Danio rerio: one gene and its partner. The protein of the gene in region 1 purifies or fractionates together with the protein of each later gene. This does not show direct contact. Links are inferred from orthologs where the notes say so. Each region holds a gene or a part of one and is shown on either strand. Other genes may lie near its edges. The genes, in order: vdac2 and phb.

Evidence for each region.
Region 2: the proteins of vdac2 (region 1) and phb purify together in Homo sapiens (affinity purification with mass spectrometry; 4 studies listed by BioGRID, with this or other methods). This does not show direct contact. The link is inferred for Danio rerio from reciprocal best matches to the Homo sapiens genes VDAC2 and PHB1.

What each region holds. Positions count from the first base shown.
Region 1 is NC_133188.1:19,699,232-19,710,207, reverse strand, and holds the end of vdac2 (voltage-dependent anion-selective channel protein 2), read left to right. Parts: intron 1-1,346; 5' UTR 1,347-1,351; coding exon 1,352-1,418; intron 1,419-1,514; coding exon 1,515-1,564; intron 1,565-1,774; coding exon 1,775-1,927; intron 1,928-2,025; coding exon 2,026-2,078; intron 2,079-3,479; exon of another isoform or gene 3,480-4,353; coding exon of another isoform or gene 4,354-4,361; coding exon 4,362-4,589; intron 4,590-7,015; coding exon 7,016-7,166; intron 7,167-7,854; coding exon 7,855-7,912; intron 7,913-9,559; coding exon 9,560-9,651; 3' UTR 9,652-10,467; downstream 10,468-10,976. UniProt on the Homo sapiens protein: Non-selective voltage-gated ion channel that mediates the transport of anions and cations through the mitochondrion outer membrane and plasma membrane.
Region 2 is NC_133178.1:14,396,291-14,408,585, reverse strand, and holds the start of phb (prohibitin 1), read right to left. Parts: upstream 6,257-12,295; 5' UTR 6,231-6,256; intron 5,759-6,230; 5' UTR 5,741-5,758; coding exon 5,656-5,740; intron 2,104-5,655; coding exon 1,942-2,103; intron 1,281-1,941; coding exon 1,138-1,280; intron 1-1,137. Other genes in the region: mvp (major vault protein), read left to right, coding at 11,308-11,462.

The DNA of each region.
Region 1 (10,976 bases):
ATTATTTACTCCCTCCTTCACTTGCTTCAAACCTGTCTGAGGGTGCTTTCACACCTGTGAATCGATTCAGTTGTTCCGAAACAGAGATTACAATTGTTACATTGTTGCTCTTTGCTCTTGGAGCGGTTTGCTTTCACATTGCAAAGTTTCTAATCGGACCAAAAGAGCTAAAACAAGTCACGTGCGAGTAAACTCACCTCACATTGGTCAGAGTGTCAGGGTTTATTTTGCAGCGTCCCGCTCCGCTGTCAGGAGAGGTGGTGGTTTGATGGTGACTGACAGGGTGCGCGCGCGCGACGTGTCTGAGGAGAGACGCGGTGGGGAGGGGTGAGAAGGGTGCGCGACGATGCCTAGGACCGGGAGGGAGACGCGAGATTACCGGGAGATCATCACTCGTTTGCGGGCATCCGGAGACTCGCGAAACTTCCCGCCCTACTCATAATTCTCTCTTCATATAGCCGTAAGCCTATTACATATTCATAAAACAGTGTGATATAACCGCACTCGGATCGGATCGCTTTCTCACTGCAATCGAACCGCTCCAGGGTTCGTTTCAATCGATTACTTTGGCGCGGAACAGAGCACGATTGCCCTGTTCACATATGCCAATCGAACCGCGCTAACTGGGCAATCGAGATACGTTCTGAAACAAAAGTGTAGGTGTGAAAGCACCCTGAGTTTCTTTGTTCTTTTGAACACAAAGGAAAATATTTCATTTTTTAGACTATGTATGTTAATGGTTAAAATGTTTCAGCTTTCTTCAAATATCTTCATTTGTGTGTAGCAGATAAAAAAACAAAACAAAAGGTGCATGTATTACAACTTGAGGATAAATAAATAGAGAAATGTGATATTTTTTTGGTGGTACTGTCTCTAAGGCAGGGCCACACTACATTTGTAAACTATTATTCAGAGCGCACAGATTTTGTTAGTTGTTCAGTGAGCCTCCACCACGATCACTCATTGCTATTCACACAACTGCTTCTTCTGCTTACTTGCACACGTCTAAATGTGTGTGTCTGTGGGAGTGAATCGGGACGTCACTTCCTTGCTCTGTGACTCAGTTAGGTGCGGCCTGCTGTCAGTTCAGATTAGCTTGAGTGCAGCAGCTGCTTTCAGGCTGGGTCATTTATCATACTGATAGGACATGGTGATAAACCATGGAAAGCTAGACATACTGTAGACCACCCAAAACATCCCACTGTTGCTTGGTTCAGAAAAATAACTTTCGTACAGTTTTTTTTTTTTTTTTTTTTTACACTGTTTTTTTGGTTTTTGCACAGGTGTTTAGTGTTATGGTGTTCTTCCGACCCACTAATGATCTTTGCACACTCTGTTTTAATTAGATAAAATGGCCGTTCCCCCAGCATATGCTGATCTTGGCAAATCTGCCAAAGACATCTTTAACAAAGGATATGGTAAAGTATTTAATAATTCATGATGTCTCTTGGGAAAAAAATGTTTTTTAGTTTTCTGTATTTGTTCAAAGCATTTCTTTCATTTTTTTTTTTAAGGATTCGGTATGGTGAAGCTCGATGTCAAGACAAAATCAGCCAGTGGAGTGGTGAGACTCAATTTTGTTAATAAGTTAATACAAATATTGTGAATCTACTTATACTAACAAATCATTAATTATTGTTATTAAATTAGTTATATTTAGTCATCACATTGCAAAACCCTAGACCTCTGTTTAATTATTTAATAATTAGTTATCAAGTCATTAAGCGTGACACCTTACACCAACTTAAAATATGTTCCTTTCCTGTCTGTATAGGAATTCAAGACCTCTGGTTCCTCCAACACTGACACCAGCAAAGTGGTTGGGAGCCTGGAAACCAAATACAAGAGGTCTGAATATGGCCTGACCTTCACAGAGAAGTGGAATACCGACAACACCCTGGGCACAGAGATCAACATTGAAGACCAGGTCTGAATGCTTTTTCCAGCACTGAATAGTAACCAATCGAAGTCTGTTATTTTTAGCATGAATAGCACTTTATAATCCCCTTTCTCTCTTTTTTTTAGATCGCAAAGGGACTGAAACTGACCTTTGACACAACCTTCTCACCAAACACAGGGTATATTAATTTCTCACATTTATTTTAAGCATTAATATGTTTTGTAGTTGGTTCAGAGGAGGTGAGAAACGCTATATTGACACGTGGTGGAATGTAACTCAATATTGTATTGAGCAATTTGAGTGTCACCATGGCTGCATCTGAAATAGCATTCTTCCCTGATATATAGTAGGTGAAAATGAGGTAAAAGTAAAATGACTACTTGCTACTAAGATTCTGAAGTGATTGGCAACAACACCACTGATCCTAATTACTTTAAAACATAGTCCAATCACTTGTTCCAAATAGGTACCCGAGTGTGATTGCAGACAAAGCTAGATGACTGTTAGTTGTCTTTTGTTGTGCAGGGATGAACACCTCAAGGTTACTTTCACACAAGTGATAGTGGTGGTGTAAATCGGTCAGGAAAGTGGCACCTGTCTGCTATCGTATGGCTTTGTGCTCTCAGATGACAGTCACGTTGACATGGCCTTTACTGATGTATAGGCCTGTGTGGCTCATGACAGCGGCTGTAGATCATGTGGCAAAAAGTTTTCACAGTTTTATTTGCTTAATATTAAGTCAGTTAGAGATGTTTATGACAGAAATATTTCTTTTTACTGGCTTTGTTTGTCATTTTAGTAGATTTAAGTTCTTAAGAGGTCTTGAAAAAACAATCGTAGTGACATCAGGCTTTTGACTGGTAGTGTATTTTACCAGCAGTGCTGTGTGCTCTTGTATTAGTGCAGACTCTGCAAAATGAGCCATGGTTTGCTGTTTTGTTTTTGCTAGTCTTTAAATTTAACTGTAACTTGAGCATTAAAGTGATGGTTCATCCAAAAAGGAACTTTTTGTTATCATTTAATAACCCTCACTAGGGCACACAGGCTAAAGGTGGCCCATGGTAATCTTTAATTTAGCCCACCGTCTCAACTAAAAGGAGAGAATGACATGTATTTATTTATATAGATTTAACCAATATTGTCATTTCTGATTAAAAGTAACTTAACGTTTTGTTTGTTTTATGGTTAAGCTACAAAAAAAGCTTATGAAAATTAAATGTTTCAGTTAAATGTTGTAAATGAATCGGATATTTTTGTTTATGTAAATGCTATCACTTGACCGTAACTTGACCAGTGTGTACAGCACTGTATTCTAGTGTTTTTATTGTATCAACATTATTATAGGATGAATAAATATATATAATGCATTAGGTAATACGGTTAAAGTAATTTTTATTTTTAAACAGTATGAAATAAATTATGAAATTGACAACTTTGATTAATTACAGTTTGCTTTTTACCTTTGGCCCACAGCTCTCAATCAGATTTAATTTTTGGCCCTTCATAAGAATGTTTGGGCATCTCTGCTCAAGAGCAATAAGTAGCCATTAACATTCATAGTGATGGATAGATACTGTAGATAGCTAGATAATGTAGATACATAGATTTGATTGATTGATTGATCGATTGATTCAACGTTTGAAGTGGATCAAAAACGTTTTTAAAAATTGTCCTAAAACAATAATGAGTACTGTTGAATAGTTTTAGAACAACTTCGATAAAAGGATTTGGTCCTCCTCAATTGTTTGACTACTGTGTGCTATAGAAGTTTTCAAGTTATCTTTAGGTTTCAACAGAAAAAGTACAAGCTTGGAACAAGCAGAAGGTGAATGAATGATGTCAATTTTTTGTGAACTATCCCTTTAAGTGGTTTATAAAGTGACATTGTCCTTCACTGTGGTATTTGCAGCTTGTCCTTTGGCATGTGTCTGTGTCTTGAATTCTGACTAGTACATATTTAGCAGCAGGTTATTTTACTTTGTATATGGCTTTGTTTATGGTTTATTGCACGATGGTCCCGAAGTCATATTCATAAATCGAATATGGAGAAACAGATCAAGCTAAATCAGCAAATCAAGCTAAATATGTATATAAATAAACACTAGCTTGTCTATGACAGAAGCACTTTTTTATTCTATTCTAAAATGGATGGTGACTAAACATATAAAAACAAAATATTAACATTAAGAACTGCTGTAATAGTAAATTAAATAGATAGTCTGATATCAAATCTTTTGCACTTTTGATTTTTTTTAGTGGTCTAAAAAGTTCCAAAGAGAAGTTATTTATTAAACTAATTTTGTCACTTGTTTGATGAGAAGGAATATTACAGTCTAAACAGTTTATATTTCTGCAAATCGGTTTGGTTTTATTGCTAGTCAAAAGCTGAATAATCTTTGTTTAAAATACCTCTTGTAAACTAAATAGGATGCCGAATTGTTTACTTTTGTCTCATGAACAGGAAAAAGAGTGGCAAAGTCAAGACCGCATACAAGCGTGAGTTTGTCAACCTGGGATGTGATGTTGACTTCGACTTTGCCGGCCCAACTATCCACGGCGCTGCAGTGGTCGGTTACGAAGGATGGCTCGCCGGTTACCAGATGTCCTTCGACACCGCCAAGTCCAAGATGACCCAGAACAACTTTGCTGTAGGCTACAAAACGGGAGACTTCCAGCTGCACACTAATGTGTGAGTCCTCCAACATTACTACATCATTCTAAGTGCATGTGACTGGGATTTGTGTTTATTTTAGTGCAAGGAAGTGTTGATATAATGACATTATGTACACAGAGTTGACATGGAAGTTTAACAGCATGTCACCAGGGTGATGTGTTGTTGTGTTTTAATTAATTTGCCGTATATGGACAGCTTAAAAATATGAAGAGTTCAGATGCAAAACCCTCTAAATCTATTTAACCTCTTTTCTTGTAAATGAGCATCCACAATTGGGACAAGATAGTGTAATTAGTTGAAAATCACTTAAGATAATATTAGAAATTATTTTACCAAACATAAAACATATTACACAAACCACCTAAAAAAAATAAATACATAAATAAATATATATATAAATATATATCTGTCAAGTGGCAGTTCATTGTGTTGTGATTAAACCAGGAAAAAAAAGGAAAATGAATGAATGAAATCTGTCAAGTAGATGCATCAATCAATAACATTAAAAAACTGACATTAAATCTTAACGATCTGTTGTCATTTCTGATATTTGGGATTTAGATTTAATGCAAGTAGAATAATGTAAAATAAGCTTGTTAGATTCAAATAATGTTTTGTAAAAACATTGAAACATCAATATCTGCATAGTCCAATAATATAAAAAGCTTATTAGGCGTATTCACCTTATTCTCAGCTGTCGAGCGGGCGCTGCCATTTGAATCTTTTTGTCTCGCGACTTCCGGTCACATTCACTTCCATTCATTTTTTGACGTTAACAACTGCTCGTTACGCTGCTTGATGTTGCAATTAAATATTTTCTTATTATAATATGCTACTTGGTCTGTGTAGTCATGCAAACATTTGTTTGTTGAGCAAGTAGTTTGGCCATTTTCTGCCGTTTATTATTCCTAGTCATTTCTCCTATAGGCGACTGAATCGGAAGTTCTAAGACAATCGCGAAAACAGGCGCACTTCCGCATTTTAGAATAAGGTCAATAGTAGAGCTGCATGATTTTGGCCAAAATGAGAATCGCGATTTCTTCTTCTTTTTTTTTTTTTTTTTTTTTTTTTTTTTTTTTTTTTTGTTGCTTAAAATAAAGATCACAAGTTTCTCACGATTCTGTTGATGTAAAAAAAGGTTAATATGAGTCGGCTATTATTATTATTTCTCAAACATACGGTAAAAAACTATAATACGTCTACTGTTGGTTACAATGCTAAATTTTGTATAGACTTGGAATAGTGATCTTGAACAGACATTCAATTTGTCCTGGTCATTGCACAGTAAAGTGATGACATCAGAATAAAACTATTCATAATTCTGATGTTCAATTATCATGTTTAAGACTTATGCTTGTAATCTGTCATTGACAACATTATTAGACCAATTTTTTTCTACTGGTAAAATCAGACATTTTGTCATTATCAAATTCCCTCTTGCATGATATTCAACATTATAGGCTGGTGTTATACTGACACTGTTTAACATTCTGTTTAACGGCTCTTCCTAAAAGCCGGCGTTTCAGCGCACTGCTACATTGAAAACATATGATTCGATTTGCATCTTCTGTTTGGTTCTCGGGATATAGCGGCTTTTGCTGTCAAAGGCAAGTGCTGTTTAACATCTTGTGCAAAAAAACTGTTATCGACTTTTGCATCTGAACTCTTCATATCAAAACCTTTCATCAAAGTTGTGAACCATTCTTTTTCTTAACTTTTGTTGATCCATTGTTTTTATGTATAAAATATGTATATAAACTATAAAAAAAAAAAATAAAATTTATGTCAAAAGTTTGTACATATATGGTTACAAGCAGGGTCTTATAAAGTATTTAAAGTTGATAAATCAATGTAGAGATATTTAAGGCCCTAAAAAGTATTAGTCTTAAATGCTATTTTGAAAGGTATTAAATTTCATACCATTTTTGATATAATTATTGTGCAATGTATGCCTGTACACTAAAGGTTGCCTGAATTAAATCAGCGAATATCAGGATGCTGTGTAGTTTGTAAAATCAATGAAATCCTACTATATTTGACATCATGCTGCTTTGTTTACTGAAATAATAAAGGCAACACCATTATTTCTGCAGTTCTATAGGCGCCAACCTGCTGAATGAGCAAGATTTAATAGATTTGTATTCAGTATATGAATAGTGTTTAAGCTTTAGATTAGTTTCTTACATTAATATTTATTAAATATACTGCAAGTTAAAATCTCACCAGTGTGTCCAGTTGATAGTTTTTAAGGTATTAAAATGTATGGAAAGAGTCTTAAAAAAGGGCTAAAATGTATTGAATTTTACTCTGATTCCTGTATAAACTCATGTGAGGTAATGTGCTTCTAGAAAATGATTCCTGGTTTAATTTTTAATTTTTGTTTTTTTACAATATATTTTCAGTGATTAATTGATTTTCTGTATCTCTCTCGCTCTCTGCAGTAATGATGGCTCAGAGTTTGGTGGTTCCATCTATCAAAAAGTGAGTGATAAGCTGGAGACAGCGGTGAATCTGGCCTGGACAGCAGGAAGCAACAGCACACGCTTTGGAATTGCTGCCAAGTATCAGCTGGACAAAGACGCCTCCATCAGTGTGAGTAAACGGCACGTTTTTAAAAAATTTTTTTTACTAAAAGTCAATTTGGTTTCAGCAGAAGACAGGAGTTTATTCAAGTGACCTAATCTAATCAGGGTCTTTCTCAAATGATTTGTAATCAACATTATAAATTGGTTAATATTAACCCACACTGCCATTTATATGCAATTGAAAAATGCTTGCATTGCAAATAAGCACATGCAGGAATTAAACTATTAAATAAACAGCCAAGGCCAAAAAGACCAAAGGCTTTTCTTTTTTTCTTTTTTTTTCTTTTTTTTGTTTTGCATTTTAAAATTGTCTTTCAATACAGCTAATTTGTGTTAGTTAATTTGTCAATACAACTAATAACAGTGTTTTGTACTAGGACCTTAAATGAAATAAGTGTTTGTATTATGGTAAGTAAATGCTGCTATGGTGTAAACAAAGGCCTCTGAGCTGCCTGTGATTTATCTTGTTGAACAAAGGGGATATATTTTGAAACAGTTGAATAAAGAAATCAATTCTTTGTACAGTATTTTCCAACAACTCAATATAATTTCTTATTCTATTTTGTTGAGGATCAGATGATGACTAAATCAAAATAGTTGAATCACAAGAAGCTAATGAAAGCTTCTGTTGAAAATGTGTTTGTGGTTTTCTTTTGCCTCTAGAAATAAGTCAATGTTTTCTCTTTTTTCAACAGGCTAAAGTGAATAACACCAGCCTTGTTGGTGTTGGTTACACTCAATCTCTGAGACCAGGTACAGTGATGTTTTTTTTTTTCTGTCATTATTTAAATATGCAAATTTATTCATGAAAGGCATTGTTTTGATCCCTTGTTCAGTTAAACCATATAACACCCACACTATATAACTTCAGTTATTAAAGCTTAAATACAATTCAGTGTTAATGGTTTTAGATTTGATTGATCAAATTCTGCAGAGTTGGTCTGTAGTTGCACATACTGGGATAAAATCCAGCAGCCTCGTTTGGGTTCTGAAACCTATAGATTGTTTTTATAGTAGAGTGACTTGCGTGTAAAAAATGCATTAGCCCTCAAATTGTTTTAACTGGTTAAAGAGTACTCCTGAAGTGGTCGACCTGGTGTAAATATTAATAACTTGCATAAAAGATGCATGAATTGTGACCACAAGTATTGTGCAAACTTGACTTTAACATCCACAGTATGTTAAGAACAAGAACTATGAAGATTTCTAAGCATTTCTTAGACAAAATATAAAACATTTAGTTCAGATATCAGTTGTGAACTTAAAGCCTGGACCGTTCAAATGCAAAATGACGACTTGCAACACTACACCAATGACTCGTTAGTTTGTTTGTTTATTTATTTGCATTGTAAAATGGCATTCAAAAATGTGTCTGAATAACTCTTTAGCAGTGAAACACATGTCCATACTCAATGTTTTTTTACCCTTTGTCATGTTTGCTATAAATTATTATTTGTTTATTCAAACCGTGATTTAAAATAAAATAAAGCAGAACAAATTAAACAATACAATTTGAAAAATAACCTCATTTGAAACTTAACATTTTGTCTAGTCTCCACTGAGCAGCAGGTACATTTCCAGCGATACAATAACCATTTATATCCATTTCCATTGTGATGTATCTAATGAATTTAATAATGAATTAAAAATAAATAAAATGTGTGTGTGTGTGTGTGTGTGTGTGTGTTTATTTATAAAAAAATTTAATTCATTATTTAATTATTTAAAAAAAAGTGTGTGTGTATATATGTATGTATGTGTGTGTGTGTATATGTATATATATATATATATATATATATATATATATATATATATATATATATATATAATTTATTTTGTATTTTATGCTTTTGTAATGGTACATTTACATCAAGTCAGTCCATGGATGCAATCAGACATCCTGCAGCGCTATTTATGCTAATGAGATGGCATAAATGGAGTAAATGACACTGAGAATTCAGGGTTGGCTTAATGCGTGATTTGAATGGGTCAAGTTGAAAAAACGGAATTTTGGTGGACATTCTCGCCAAACTGAAAATGCTTCATCTCTAATTACAGACAAATATTTATAATTATAAGCTGCGTCTGGTGTGAACGCTCTATAAGGGTATCAAGCACAACAATATGTTGCCAAAAGGATGGAGCTAGACTCCCTGCAGAAAGCTGGTTGGTTTACAGTATACATCACATTTCAAGTCAGGGGAACGACAACATATAGCACCACTATTAAATATACAGGCAAAACATTACACCATAATCAATGACCTATAATACAATTGTTGTTCACGGGTCCATTCCTGTCACTTCTGTACTGCTCAGTGGAAACATGCCATTCGTTATTTAGTTTTGCATTTATGTTGTAAAACTCTTGTGATTTTTAAAAACTTTGGTGTTTTTCAGGTATCAAGTTGACCCTGTCTGCCCTGGTTGATGGGAAGAGCATCAATTCCGGTGGCCACAAGCTGGGCTTGGGCCTGGAGCTGGAGGCTTAAACCTGCTTCTGCTGAACATCAGGGACAAGGGAATATCAGAGAAATCTGGCCTTAAATCTAACTCCAGCAGCAACCAGCAGGGGGAATCGGGATGGGATGTGTGCAAAGGCTCATCAAAAGCGATCATGTCATGTGGTTTCTTTTTCGTCCCCTTCAGGTCCTTATGTTTGTTTTTCGTTTGTAGTTGTTCTCTCATAGACATTCAGCTACAAATTAATTTGGCCATCCCTCTCCAGCACTTCCACAGTAATGAAATGCGCTCTGGGATAGAGGGCATCTGTGGCGTCCTGATGTGTTGCTCCCTCTTCAGTTAGACGGTGGTGGGTTTGTGACAAAACTGTCTCTGATTTCATCCTTTGTATTGTATCTGATATTCCTTCGTCGTCTGATTGCGATTCAAGCAAACCACTTTACTCGATATTAAAGGTTCTACCTGATATTATTTAAATACTGTTATACCGTTTTCTTCTTTCCATGCACGCAAGGACGAGCTTTAAGCAGTTTACTTTCCCTCGGGCAGCCATCCAGAGTTTATCTTGCAGGTGAAGTCTGCCCTTGAGCTGAGCAGTTTTTGGGTAGCCTAATGGGGTGGTGAGTGCTGTTGCCCGTGAGCTGGCATGGCTGGCCTTCTGTTTTTCATTTGCAGCACAGATGACTCTCCGTGGCTCCCTGTGATGGCGGGACGGGTCTTGTGGGTGTGGTTTGAGTTCAGTACCTTTTGCTCCCGGTGTTGCCCTGATTCCCATGCTTTACAACACCTCAGAGGTCCTTATGTGTATGTTTGAACTTTTCAATAAACTCTTTGAACACATCTTACCATACGGTTGTTGTTGCTTACAAAGCGAATAGCCTCTCGTAACATAAACCCTAGCTCAAACTCTTAAGGAGATCTACTGTAATAGGGTAGTGGACATGTCACAGAGAAAAATAGTGCTTAAATTACCAAAAATACTGCGTAATTGAGATTTTAAAGATAAAATGGATTTTTTGCAAATATTCTGTTCTTTATATCTAACTTTGAACAGAAGTTTGTCATGCAAAAGTAAAAGACTTGTACTCTTTTTGTTTGGATAATTATTTTAATATTAAATGGCCTTTCAGTCTGATTTATTTGACCTTTTTTGACATATCAATGTTTAAATGAGTGTAAAACTTAGTTTATTTTGTCAGAGGCCATTGTTAGCGTTTTTAATCAAACCTGACCATTTGCTTCTGCTTCTACAGTTCTTAACTGATGATGGCTTAGGTGAAATATGCTTAGCCACGCCCTCCAACCGTTAATGTAAATGATTGCAAATAAAACCCCGCCCCTTAATATTCTTTTT
Region 2 (12,295 bases), on another chromosome or scaffold:
ATTTGTTTGTTTATTGGCACATCAGCAACTTATGGCTATTTCATGGCAAAATCAAGAGATAAAATACATACTACATAACAATAACTTCAATAACAACTTCATTCTTCAAAAAGTGTTGATATTAAATAAATGTTAAAAATAATTAAAAATCACAATTTATATAAAAAATAATTAGATATGATTTTCAGCTCAATTTTTGAAAACTAAAATAAAACAAAAAAAATCTTTTTTTTTTTGTTTTTAAAGCAGAAAGCGGAAACCACTTTATTTTATACAACAGTGATAACTTCATATAGTCAATTAAAACCATACAAAATCAGGTTAGAAATGTCTTATTTCATAGTGGATATTAAAAATTTTTTAATTTTGAACGCTACTGCTGAACGACATTTTTACAATTTGTATTACTGCAGTTAAACATTTTTATTACAACAAAAAAAAAAAGTAAAAAAAAAATCATGCTGTAATGCAACAGTTTGTCTACAAAGTGACATAACTTATTTGATAATTATAAAAGACTTTGACAGCTAAAGTCCCTGGGTTAAAAATGACAAACACACACAAATGAAAAGCGTAAACATTTAAACAAAACATGTTAAACAACATGTCTTAAATAAAAATTAATAATAATAAAAATAATAATAATAATTAAAAAAAAATAATAATCGCATTATGCCAGATCTAAATGGAAAAATGTATGAAAAAAACTGCATCTATTTGATCAAGAATAAAGAAAAAATAATAATATTGTAAAATATGTGATGTTTTCCTATGTATTACATTAAACTTTAAATCATATTAGTTAATATATTAATTTATATATTTTATGGATGAAGTTGAATTTATAAAAAATAACTCCACACTTCTGTCTCATGCAATCCTGCAGGGATCATTTAAATATGCTGATTGTCAACACACATCAACAGTTACGCTCCTTAATATTTTGTGGAAGCTGTGATATGATATTAAAGTCTTCTTTGATGAACAGAAAATCTATTTATATGGTTTTATAAGATGATTTTATTTTTATTCATTTTATTCTTTAAAATTATTAATCTTTTGACTCTCGATTAATTTCTATACATCTTTAATGAATAAAATCCCCCCTTTCTTTTAAAATCTGTTGCCGGTACCCACCACTACAGACTTCAGCACTTCAGTGGTGATGGAGGGCAGAACTCTCTCATCATAGTCCTCTCCGATACTGGTGAAAATGCGCGGCAGCTGTCCTGCAACCGGTCTGAACAGGATCCTCAGTGTGATGTTCACATTCTGCAAATCTGTCAAAGACAACGACAAACCATAAGCCAGTTTCCAATGTTTGATTAGTAAAGGTTAATGAAAACAGACTAAACATTTGAAAAATAACAATCATCATACTGACAAACAGATATTGGCTGTATCTGAAATATACCCTTATAGTGCGCTGTTTAAGGGAGCAGCCATTTCTAGTGGTGCCCAAAACCATAGAAAAATGTTCTGAAGTGCACCATATCAATCCCACAATGCACCACAATAACAAGTCTACAACCCATGTACACTCAACAGCTAGAAAATACCCAAAATGCACCATGAGAGCCAAATGAATTTCCATGTCTGACCACAACATGGCCTCCACAGTGGAATGGATGTAGGTTTCAAATTCTAATATTACTTAATTAAAATAACGATTATATACTTGACAGAAATTAAAATACTCTGTCTCATTACTAATAGGCTAAGTGTTAAAGAACTAAGTGTTATCACAGGGCCAGAACAAGAAGTTTAAAGACTAATCCATCTGAGGGATTTACCAACCAGCAAAGCACAAACAAGTGGACTATATTAGTGGACAGATGTAGGGAATAGTGCTTAAGGGGTGATTTAGGATAAAGCAATAGACAAACATAAGAGCAATCAGAAAAAGAGGATTGAAGTGAAGAGCTGAGCAGTTTGACGCACCTTTGCTACCGGTAATGACGGGTACGTTGCGTGGTCGAGACCTGCAGTCGAAGATGATTGGCTTCTGCACCCAGGGTATAAGGAAGTGTGTGCCTTCCCCAACAACAACATCCTGAACACCTCGAAACCTGTCAAAGATGACGGCCCTGTGTCCCGCATCCACTGCAATGTGAAACACAGGTCTGAACAACTGATACTACACACATTTGCAGTTCGGCCATAAATAACACATTTCAGTTACATAAAAGGTAAGTTACCCGTAATAAAAAAATTCAACCATCATTTATTTATCTACAATACAGCTGTTGCAAGACCGTTTGAGGAGGATATACTGAAGAAAGCAGCAGGAACTCGCAACAATAGCGGGACAATAAGTCAATTTTATCTGTTAACTCAAATGTGTTGTTAACAACCATTTAGTTCAGGGGTCGGCAACCCAAAATGTTGAAAGAGCCATATTGGACCAAAAAAAACAAAAAACAAATATGTTTGGAGCCGCAAAAAATGTAAAGCCTTATATAAGCCTTATAATGAAGGAAACACATGCTGTATCTATAGTAGCTATATTAGCTTACTATAAAAATGAGTAAGTTGGTTACAAATACATAATGAGCCTTCATGATTAAATAGCCACTGAAATCAGGTGGTTGGTGTTTATTTCGTTGTCATTTAAACACTTCAGCACAGCCTCTGGTCTTTCAGTGATATTAATTTGATCATTTCTTCTTGCGGCCCATCAGAGTTCATGCATAAAAGCGCATTGAATATCGGTCACATCACAGGCAATTGAGTATGCGGGCACTGAATTAATGTCCTTGGTTTGCTGATCGGTGATGTTACCTGCCATTTTAATAGCCCTTTCCTTCACTGTCTTAGCGGAGAGAGCGGTATATCTTTAATTTTTTTGTATTATCTGGGTTTTGTTTTTGAAATCTGCAAATAGGTGTTCTAATATGTTGATGAATGACTCCTTTATGTAGTCACCATCTGTGAACGGTTTTCCATGCTTTATTATCTCCCGGTTTGTTTACAACAGCCACCTGCCCGGCATCTTGCCCTGCTGATAGAAACCTGTGTCGCAGGCTATGACGCAAATCTTCGTTGACAGAAATGTTGAAATTAAATATTAATTCTACACACTTTTACAGCATTTGAAAACGTTAAAAATGTTTGTCCTCCAATAGAAATCATATTAAAACAAAAATATATACTAACCTTCCCCATCTTTTTGAACACTTTTGAAAAAACTTAAGGGAGCCACAAGGGCATCGCTAAAGAGCCGCATGTGGCTCTAGAGCCGCGGGTTGCTGACCCCTGATTTAGTTGAATGAAAGTCAGGTTTCAAACATGCAACGCTCCTCTATGACTCACCCCACTGACAAAGCTCCAGAATTTCTTTCCCCATACATGAGCTCATTTGTCCTATTTTGTCTGCTATGCCATTATAAATTGTGAAATAACCCATCTAAGAAAGCTTTAAGACCAAGCAAAATCTGACGCAAGTGAAGCCATCTTTCACTACTGACCTACTGTACTGTTGTTAAATAGAGAAAATATTTACAAGTAACTTTTAATCTAAATCCTGGACCTTATTTTTGAAAGAGCAGAAAAATAAAAAGACCAATAAAAAGGTGTTAAGCACCAAAAGTTCATTTTGAAGTCCCTGTGCATTTACTGTAGAAACACACAAACAACATAGCAGCGGGCAGAGAACTCATAGAGAAATGTTGTGCTTTATGAAATGAACAATAAAATAAAAATAAAAATAAAACGGCCACACAAGCACACCTGCTAAAAAAAAACAAAAAACAGCATGATTTAGAGTTCTCAGTCACACACACAGACACACAGACACACACAGACACACACACACACAGACACACACACAGACAGACACACAGACAGACAGACACACAGACAGACAGACACACACACACACACACACACAGACACACAGACACACAGACACACAGACACACAGACACACAGACACACAGACACACACACAGACACACACACAGACACACACAGACACACACACAGACACACACAGACACACACACACACACACACACACACACACACACACACACACGGGCTACATAAAGTGCAATTCGATAAATGTAATTTGATGAATGAAAAGTAAAATAAAAATTGACAAGCAAAATCTAGATGTTCCTCGACTTGGACAAAAAAATTTCCATGACTTTAAATATCTGAAATAAACATTTTAAAAATGAACTATTAAGATCCTTTTTTGCAGGATGAAAAATAAATATTGCTTTATAACCATTTTGAAACTGCCCCTTTTAGGCTTTGGTCCAAATTACGCCGCTTCTTTGTGACTGCCGCTTGAAATGTAAACTAGCTTTTGCTCTGTGCAAAGGCAGGTGGAGCTATAAATGTCAATGCGTCAGCATAGTGGCAGATTCATTAACAGTACTTAAGGAGATCTCTGTGAAAACTGAAAATGTGAAAGAAACGTCTCAAAAGAAGGCAGTCTATGGAGACTACAGTGTTCATTTGCGCATCTAAAACTTCACATTAATAGTGCCTTATAGTCAGTGTCATTATCTTCAGCAGGTGAACACTCTAAAGCCGCCTTTCCACTGCACATCACATTTGAACACGACTGTCGGAATACTCCCCCTTGTGGCAGTCGCACAGAACTTTCAGTTTTGTCGTGCACCATGGGAGAGAAGATGTTCTCACAGCGTCAGTAATAAAAGAGTGCAAAAGCAAGAGCCTTTACTCTCTGGGTGTCCACCATGGTTGAATGAATGAATCAACACTAGAAACTCAGACCGCTAAAAATGTTGGCGGGAATGTGGAAACAAACAAAAAAAAGTATTTTTATGACTCATTTATGAACAAAACATTTTTTAATATAGACTTTTTTCTGATTTAAGAAAAAAAAAAATCCTATTTCTCATCTCGCACGCACAGACCTGCCTGGACAACACTGAACTACATCACATGCGGTCGGTCGTATACGGTGTAGTCGCAGGAGTTCAAATATTTCCAACAGCAGCTCTGCAGCTCATATCGGATCCAAATTTTCCACATACGGAGAGAATCTGAACTCTACGCAGCTCCCGGACTACTCTCCATTGGAAATTCAACGTCTTCCAGTCTTTCGCTTGTCGTGTGCAGTGGAAGGGCGACTTAATGGCGAATGGCTGCTTCTCACTCAGGGCTGTTTATGCTAATGAGGCAGAGATCGTCACTAATGGACGGGCTTTCCCCCTCTGATGACAGGTACAATGTCAATCAAGGTGTTCATGCAGACTGTTTATCAAGTCTGATTATAATACTATTAATAAAACTATTGGATAATAATATAATATAATAAATAACTATAATAAAACTATTGTTTTACCATTACAAGCTGGTTATATTCACACACGGTTGCCACACAACTGCATTTAAACCACTTAGAAAACTGATATATGCACAAATGACCCCCTTTAAAACTCATGATATTCACAAAAATTCCAAGACCCATGGGAACTCTAAATATAGCAATATAAAGTTGCAATATTGTGCATTCCTATGACCTATCGACAGCCTCAATGTGGATAAAATTAACAACAAATTTAATTTGTTGCGTGTAAGCCCTTTAAATTGACCTTATTAGAATACTTATAGGAATTAAATGCTTTAACCATTGCTGCCATTGTTTTACAAAACACATCAGTAGTTATTACAACTCACCATTGTACAGAGCAGAGTTAACAACACCTCCTCCAATGGCCAAGGCCAATCCCAGCTTCCCAATGGACTCAAAGAGCTTCGCCATGACAACAAAGTGACAGTCCTGCGGGGAAAACACATTCATCTTCAGTATCTCATCATGGGTGATCTCTTGTGCATATAGAGCCCTTGGGTAATCAAACCAATGCTAGCCGGTTTAGCCTTGACTCTGACAGTGACACTGACATCAATGTAACGTGCTAATCTGATCTCACTCTAACCGGTCACTGGAAAAATCACAAGTAAAACTGCACAATATACACATATATACACCACTTAAAAACAATTGCTATTACAATAACACATGTGACACAGATTAACAGGCATTAATACAATCCGCAGTAGTGAACTTCACTCATTTATTAGCCTGCTACACGCTAATGATGCAACTGTCATGCAATAACGCCAACAAACACCCACACGTCGTGTTTATTTCACTTTCATACTGTCGCGTTATAATTACCGATGCTTTGTGAGTAAAACAAAAGCTTTAAGTTCGCATTTAAATGTAAGTCTCCTAAAACGTGAGCACTTACCCGCTGCGCTGAATGATCACAGTGACCTCCACCGGAGCCTGCGCAAGAAACACATGAGCAGGTGGAGCTTGCGCATGCGCAGAACAGTGTCAACATGAGTTTCTCCGATTGGATAGAGAGACACAAACCGAACGCCCTCTTGAGTAAGGAGGATTATTATTGGCGTACATCTCACGTTGCTTTAGAACGAGGTGGGTTCACTGCAATGCAATATGTGGGCGTTCCTTATTTCATTTTGTAATGACTTTAATTTATGTACTGTTATTGATACTTAAATGTCTTATGCTCAAGTTTATATCATGTTCTTTATTCATTTTTTCTTCTGTCTTTCTCTCTCTTATATTTTTTTATTGACAATGTAATTCATATTGCGTATTGTAAACAAATATTGCTACAAACTTGTCATGTGGGCGTTCTTTCGACTGCTTAAAGCTATAGTCCAACCACGTTCAAATACTGAAAATATGTTTTCAACATCGTTTAACACCTGTAACCATTGACTTCCATAGGAAAAACCAATAGTATGGAAGTCAATGGTTACCAGTTTCCAACATTTTTCAAAATAACTTATTTTGTGTTCAAAGAACGAAACACATTCATTTATTTTCTTTAGCTTAGTCCCTTTAAGGGTTGCCACAACAGAATGAACCGCCAACTTATCCAGCATATGTTTTACACAGTGGATGCCCTTCCAGCTGCAATCCATCACTGGGAAACACCCATACATACTCATTCACCTATACCACATGTTTTTGGGAGAAACTGGACCACCAAGGAGAAACCCACAACAACACGGGGAGAACATGCAAACTCCACACAGAAACGCCAACTGACCCAGCCAAGGCTCGAACCAGCAACCTTCTTGCTGTGAGGCAAATGTGCTACCCACTGCGCCACCGTGCAGTGAGCTTTTATTATTATTTTTATTTCATTGCTGTTGAAAGTGAGAGTGGTATAAAATTGCTACATTTTTCTACTGCAATTCCTGTACAGAGGCTTTACTACTAGTGTACCACATGCTGTATGAAAACAGAAAAGGACGTTTATTTATATAGCACTAATACCCCAAGATCATCAAGCATATCAAGACTCTTTGGATTCATCTTCAATGCCTCCTCCTCCATATTACCCCAGACATGCTCAATAATGTTCATCTCTGGTGGCTGGGCTGGCCATTCCAGGAGCACCTTGACCTTCTTTGCTTTCAGGATCTTTGATGTGGAGGCTGAAGTATGAGAAGGAGCGCTATCCTGTTGAACAATTTGCCTTCTCCTGTGGTTGGTAATGTAACGAGCAGCACAAATGTCTTGATACCTCAGGTTGTTGATGTTGCCATCCATCTCTTGCATGCCTCCACACTGAATGTAACCAAACCATGATTTTTTCTTAACCAAACTTGACTGATTTCTGTGAGAATCGTGGGTCTTTGTGGGTTCCAGTAGGTCTTCTGCAGTGTTTGTGATGATTGGGATGCAGCTCAACAGATGATTCATCTGAAAAACTACCTTCTGACACTTTTCCAAATGATCTACTAAAAGTCAACTAAATAAATTATTTGTTGCTTTTACAACTGGGATCAATGACAAGACTTTTGTGAGGTAGTGTAGGCCTGTGCTAATTAACCGCAGATTAACTATCTTTATATATAATAACTTTAATTAAGTAATATCTCTAAAAGTTAAAGTTATTAGTAACTAATAAAGTTAGCGCACTTAATAAACTTTTCTGATTTTGATTGTAATGCATCAAAGCCATCAAGTTACTTCTAATTGTGGTAAAAGCCACTGTAATACAGTGTATACAAGTTGAACATGGTATGTAGGTGAACCAAGTAGCCTATCTGAACATGGTGAACGACCCCTTTAAATTATAATGCTACTTCAAAACAAGGCAACATGTAGACATGCTATTATCCAGAATATGACTGTACACCCCCTACTACAGTAAGGCATGTGATGCAGTGATTACGGAAAGTCCTTCTTCAACCAGACATCTACACCCTCCTCCTCTTTTCCAGGACGACACACCCACCAGAAGCGAGTTATTATAACGCAGTGCGCAGGCTTTATGCAGTGCAGCTGTCTGTAAACTGACGGACACAAGCCCGCAGTTTTAAGGACGCATTCTTCTGAATCGGTAAGTCTCGATTATTTGTTTATTTGGCATTTGTCGGATCACGTTATAACTTTGAGCTATTTTAGGACAACTATAGTTAGCTAGCTGTGAATGTCTGCGAATGAGTCATGATGATGATGATGATGATGATGATGCGCGAATGAAACTTTATAGCAAAAGTAAACAAACGAATTACTAAATGACATTAGTTCAGGATTCATTCTCCGAATAAAATGTCGTACAGCATGATTGTGATCTTCATCACAATCAAATCAAATAAACAGCTCCTCAGTAATTGAAGCGCTTTACTGTTCTGCCCCGGTTACCTCAGGCTGTTATTTATTTAGGCTGTATCGTGGTGTTCCTGTATTTACAACAGATCGTGAAAAGGCAATTCTTGGATTTCCGCGTTCATCGCCGTTCACTATCGTGTTTTACGATTGGTTCACCTGGCCACTGACGTCACAGCGCACGGAAGATTTAATCAATTGATTGATGTTTGTTTTTATGGGTGTTGCTGAGAGATTGAACTTCTAACATGCAGCTTTACATACCATACACTAAATATACCAGGTCTTACAGAAATGAAGATACGTTGATGCTTTTCCCAAATGTAGCCATAGTTAATAGTTAATTAAACACATTGTTGTTATGTTTATTTGGTCATTTTTGTCAGATACTGTCTTAAGATGGTAAATGCATTTGGTAAATGCCATTAAAATGTCTCAGTGGTATACAGTAGACTTTTAAATAAATTAATTAACTAATTTATTCTGTATATATATATATATATATATATATATATATATATATATATATATATATATATATATATATATATATCAGGGTGTCCACAAGGTCTTAAAATGTCTTAACTCTCAAAAACTAACTTTAGGCCTTAAAAAGTCTTACATTGACCTTAATATTGTGTTGTAGGTCTTAAATTATGTTAATCATGTCTTAATTTTCCTACTGTATGTCCAAGTACAGCGAATCAATCACTGACAATCCATCTTAAAGCTATACTTGTTTTTATTTAAGATATACAAGTCACAACAGCTGTTAGACATGTTTACAGCAAATTCTCCTAATTGAATTCCTTAAGCAGGGAAAGAGTACTAAAGCAACATATCCCTTAACATAATCTTCCATTAATATAAAAACTATTTACTGAAGTAACTGGGCCAAATCCTTAGTGTTTAGCCCTGTATAAGTCAAAAATTACATTCATAATGGTCTAAAAGTTCCTTAAGTCTTTAATTTGACTTAAAGAAACCTGCAGAAACCCTGATATATATTCATTCATTCATTCATTCATTCATTTTCTTTTCGGCTTCGTACCTTTATTAATCAGGGGTCGCCACAGTGGAATGAACCGTCATATATATATATATATATATATATATATATATATATATATATATATATATTTCTTTCTAAATTTCAATAGAATAGATTTTCCTAAATTAGTTAAGTGGTAGATTGATCTTGTTATATCTAATGCAAAAAGATTAGGGCTCCGCCAATTGACATGAATAATAAGATACACTACGGGTCAAAAGTTTGGGGTCAGCAGGATTTTTAAATGTTTTAAAATAAGCTTATCCTGCCCACCAAGGCTGCATTTATTTAATCAAAATACAGTTCAAATTGTAAAATTGTGAATGTTATTGCACTGTAAAATTACTGTTCAAAAGTAGTTTATAATTTAGTTTAAAGTTATTTTTAAGATGAATTTTCAGCTTCATTTCTGCAGTCTTCAGAGACTGAAAGTAAAAATCACTCTAATAAAAAAAATAAAAAATAAAAATAATAATAATTATTATTATTATTATTAATGCTAATAGTAATAAAATCAATAATGACTGGAGTAATAACTATATTATTTAAAATTATATTGTTATTTAAAATTGTCATTAATTTTAAACAATTTTTTACATTTAATAAATGCCACCTTGACGAACAGAATAATTTTAATAATAAGAATTGATGAACAGAATAATAACCCCAAACTTTTGAGCGGTAGTCTATATATTTTTTTTTCATAAAAATAAAGCAGTGATGTCCATTATAATGCATAAAGAGTCTAAAATATTTATCATGAGATTACCCTTCTTTAATGAGCCATTAGATAACATTGCATCACTTTATTTGCGAACTTCATTCTTACCTGATATCTTTATTTTAGGGAGTGTTGATAGTGTTGTGCAACATTTTAAAAAAAGGGTGTAGGAATTGTGTGGGTGTTCGTAAAAAGAGCCTTGAATGACACAGACAACGTTGCAGCCTAAAACCAATCGCTTCAAATTGATCAAATCAGGAACTAATCAACATATAATCAGCTATAATCTCAGTATTGAAAGACCACAAGCTAAACTGTCATCTCGACACAGCAGCGTTATCATGAAATAGCCCTAAAGAGATAAGAAACTGAGGTGTGTTCACTCATTAAACTTGCTGATGTTAACATTATGGACTTTTTTGTGCATAATACAAACTGGCATACACTGCTAAGGCGCTGTAAGTCTGTAGAGCAAATACAAACTCTCATAAACATTTAGTGTAACACGTGATCCCCCATATAGAAATACAACACATGGAAATATATGCAAATTACATATATGACATAGAATTTTTCTATTTGTTTGCAAATGATGTTTAACAGAGGAAGGAATTTTTCACAGTATATCCTATAATATTTTTTCTTCTGAAGAAAGTCTTATTTGTTTTATTTAGGCTAGAATAAAAGCAGCGTCTAATTTAAAAAAAAACATTTTAGGGTCAAAATTATTAGCCCCCTTAAGCAATATATTTTTCAGTTGCCTACAGAACAAACTATTCTTATACAATGACTTGCCTAATTACCCTAACGTGCCTAATAACCTTGTTAAGCCTGAAAGAGTCATCATTTAATGCATTTTGCTCACTAATCTGCATGTTTCTGAATTAGGCTGTGTGACGAATGCCCGTAGGAAGAAACATGGACGCTGATCACCTGCTCGGAGCCTCAATCATCAGGATCCCACCTCACCACTACATCCATGTCCTGGATCAGAACACCAATATTGCACGGGTGGAGATCGGCCCTCTCACCTACATACGTCAGGACAATGAGAGGTAATCTGAAAGACTGCAGGTTTACTACTGCATTGTGTAATAGCCCTTGAAATACAGGTTCTTACTGGTCTTAGCATTTACGGTTGATCTGTGTAGATTTTCACTCCATTTGGATGGCACTATTATATTGTCTTTGGGCCATTTGTTCATTAGTATATCCTGTTTTCTTTGTTGCCGGGATACATTGTGTAGTCAAGAATCTAGAATCCAAGCAACAGTTGATATGAAGGATTTATGAATGGTGTTCAGGTCAATGTTGAATGTTTCATATATTTACTTTTAGTATCTGAGACTGATGCAGATTTTTCCGTTTGTTGTTTTTTCTTAACAAAAAATCTTCCCTAAAAAGGCAAGAGATCAACACTTTATAGTGTGGAGCTGAGAAAAATGCCTTTTTTTTCAACATTTATAGTTGTCCGTCCAAATTATTTACAGGTAGGAGGCTGGAATTTGAAATTTATAATGATCCACATGATAAAGGAGGTCCCAAATATCCCAAAAATATCAATTAGATGTATTCAACAGGTGGCACGGTGGCTCAGTGCTTACCACTGTCACCTCACATCAAGGAGCACACCGGTTCGAGTCTTGGCTGGACCAGTTGGTACTTCTTTGTAGAGTTTGCATGTTCTCCCCGTGTTGGTGTGGGTTTCTTCTGGGTGCTCTGGATTTCCCCACAGTCCAAAGACATTTGCTGTAGGTGAATTGGGTAAAACAAAATATTGGCCTTGGCGTGTAAAAGTGTGTGTGAGAATGTGAGATTACATGGGTGTTTCCCAGTACTGGGTTGCAGCTGGCAGGGCATCCGCTGCATAAAACATATGTCGGAATAG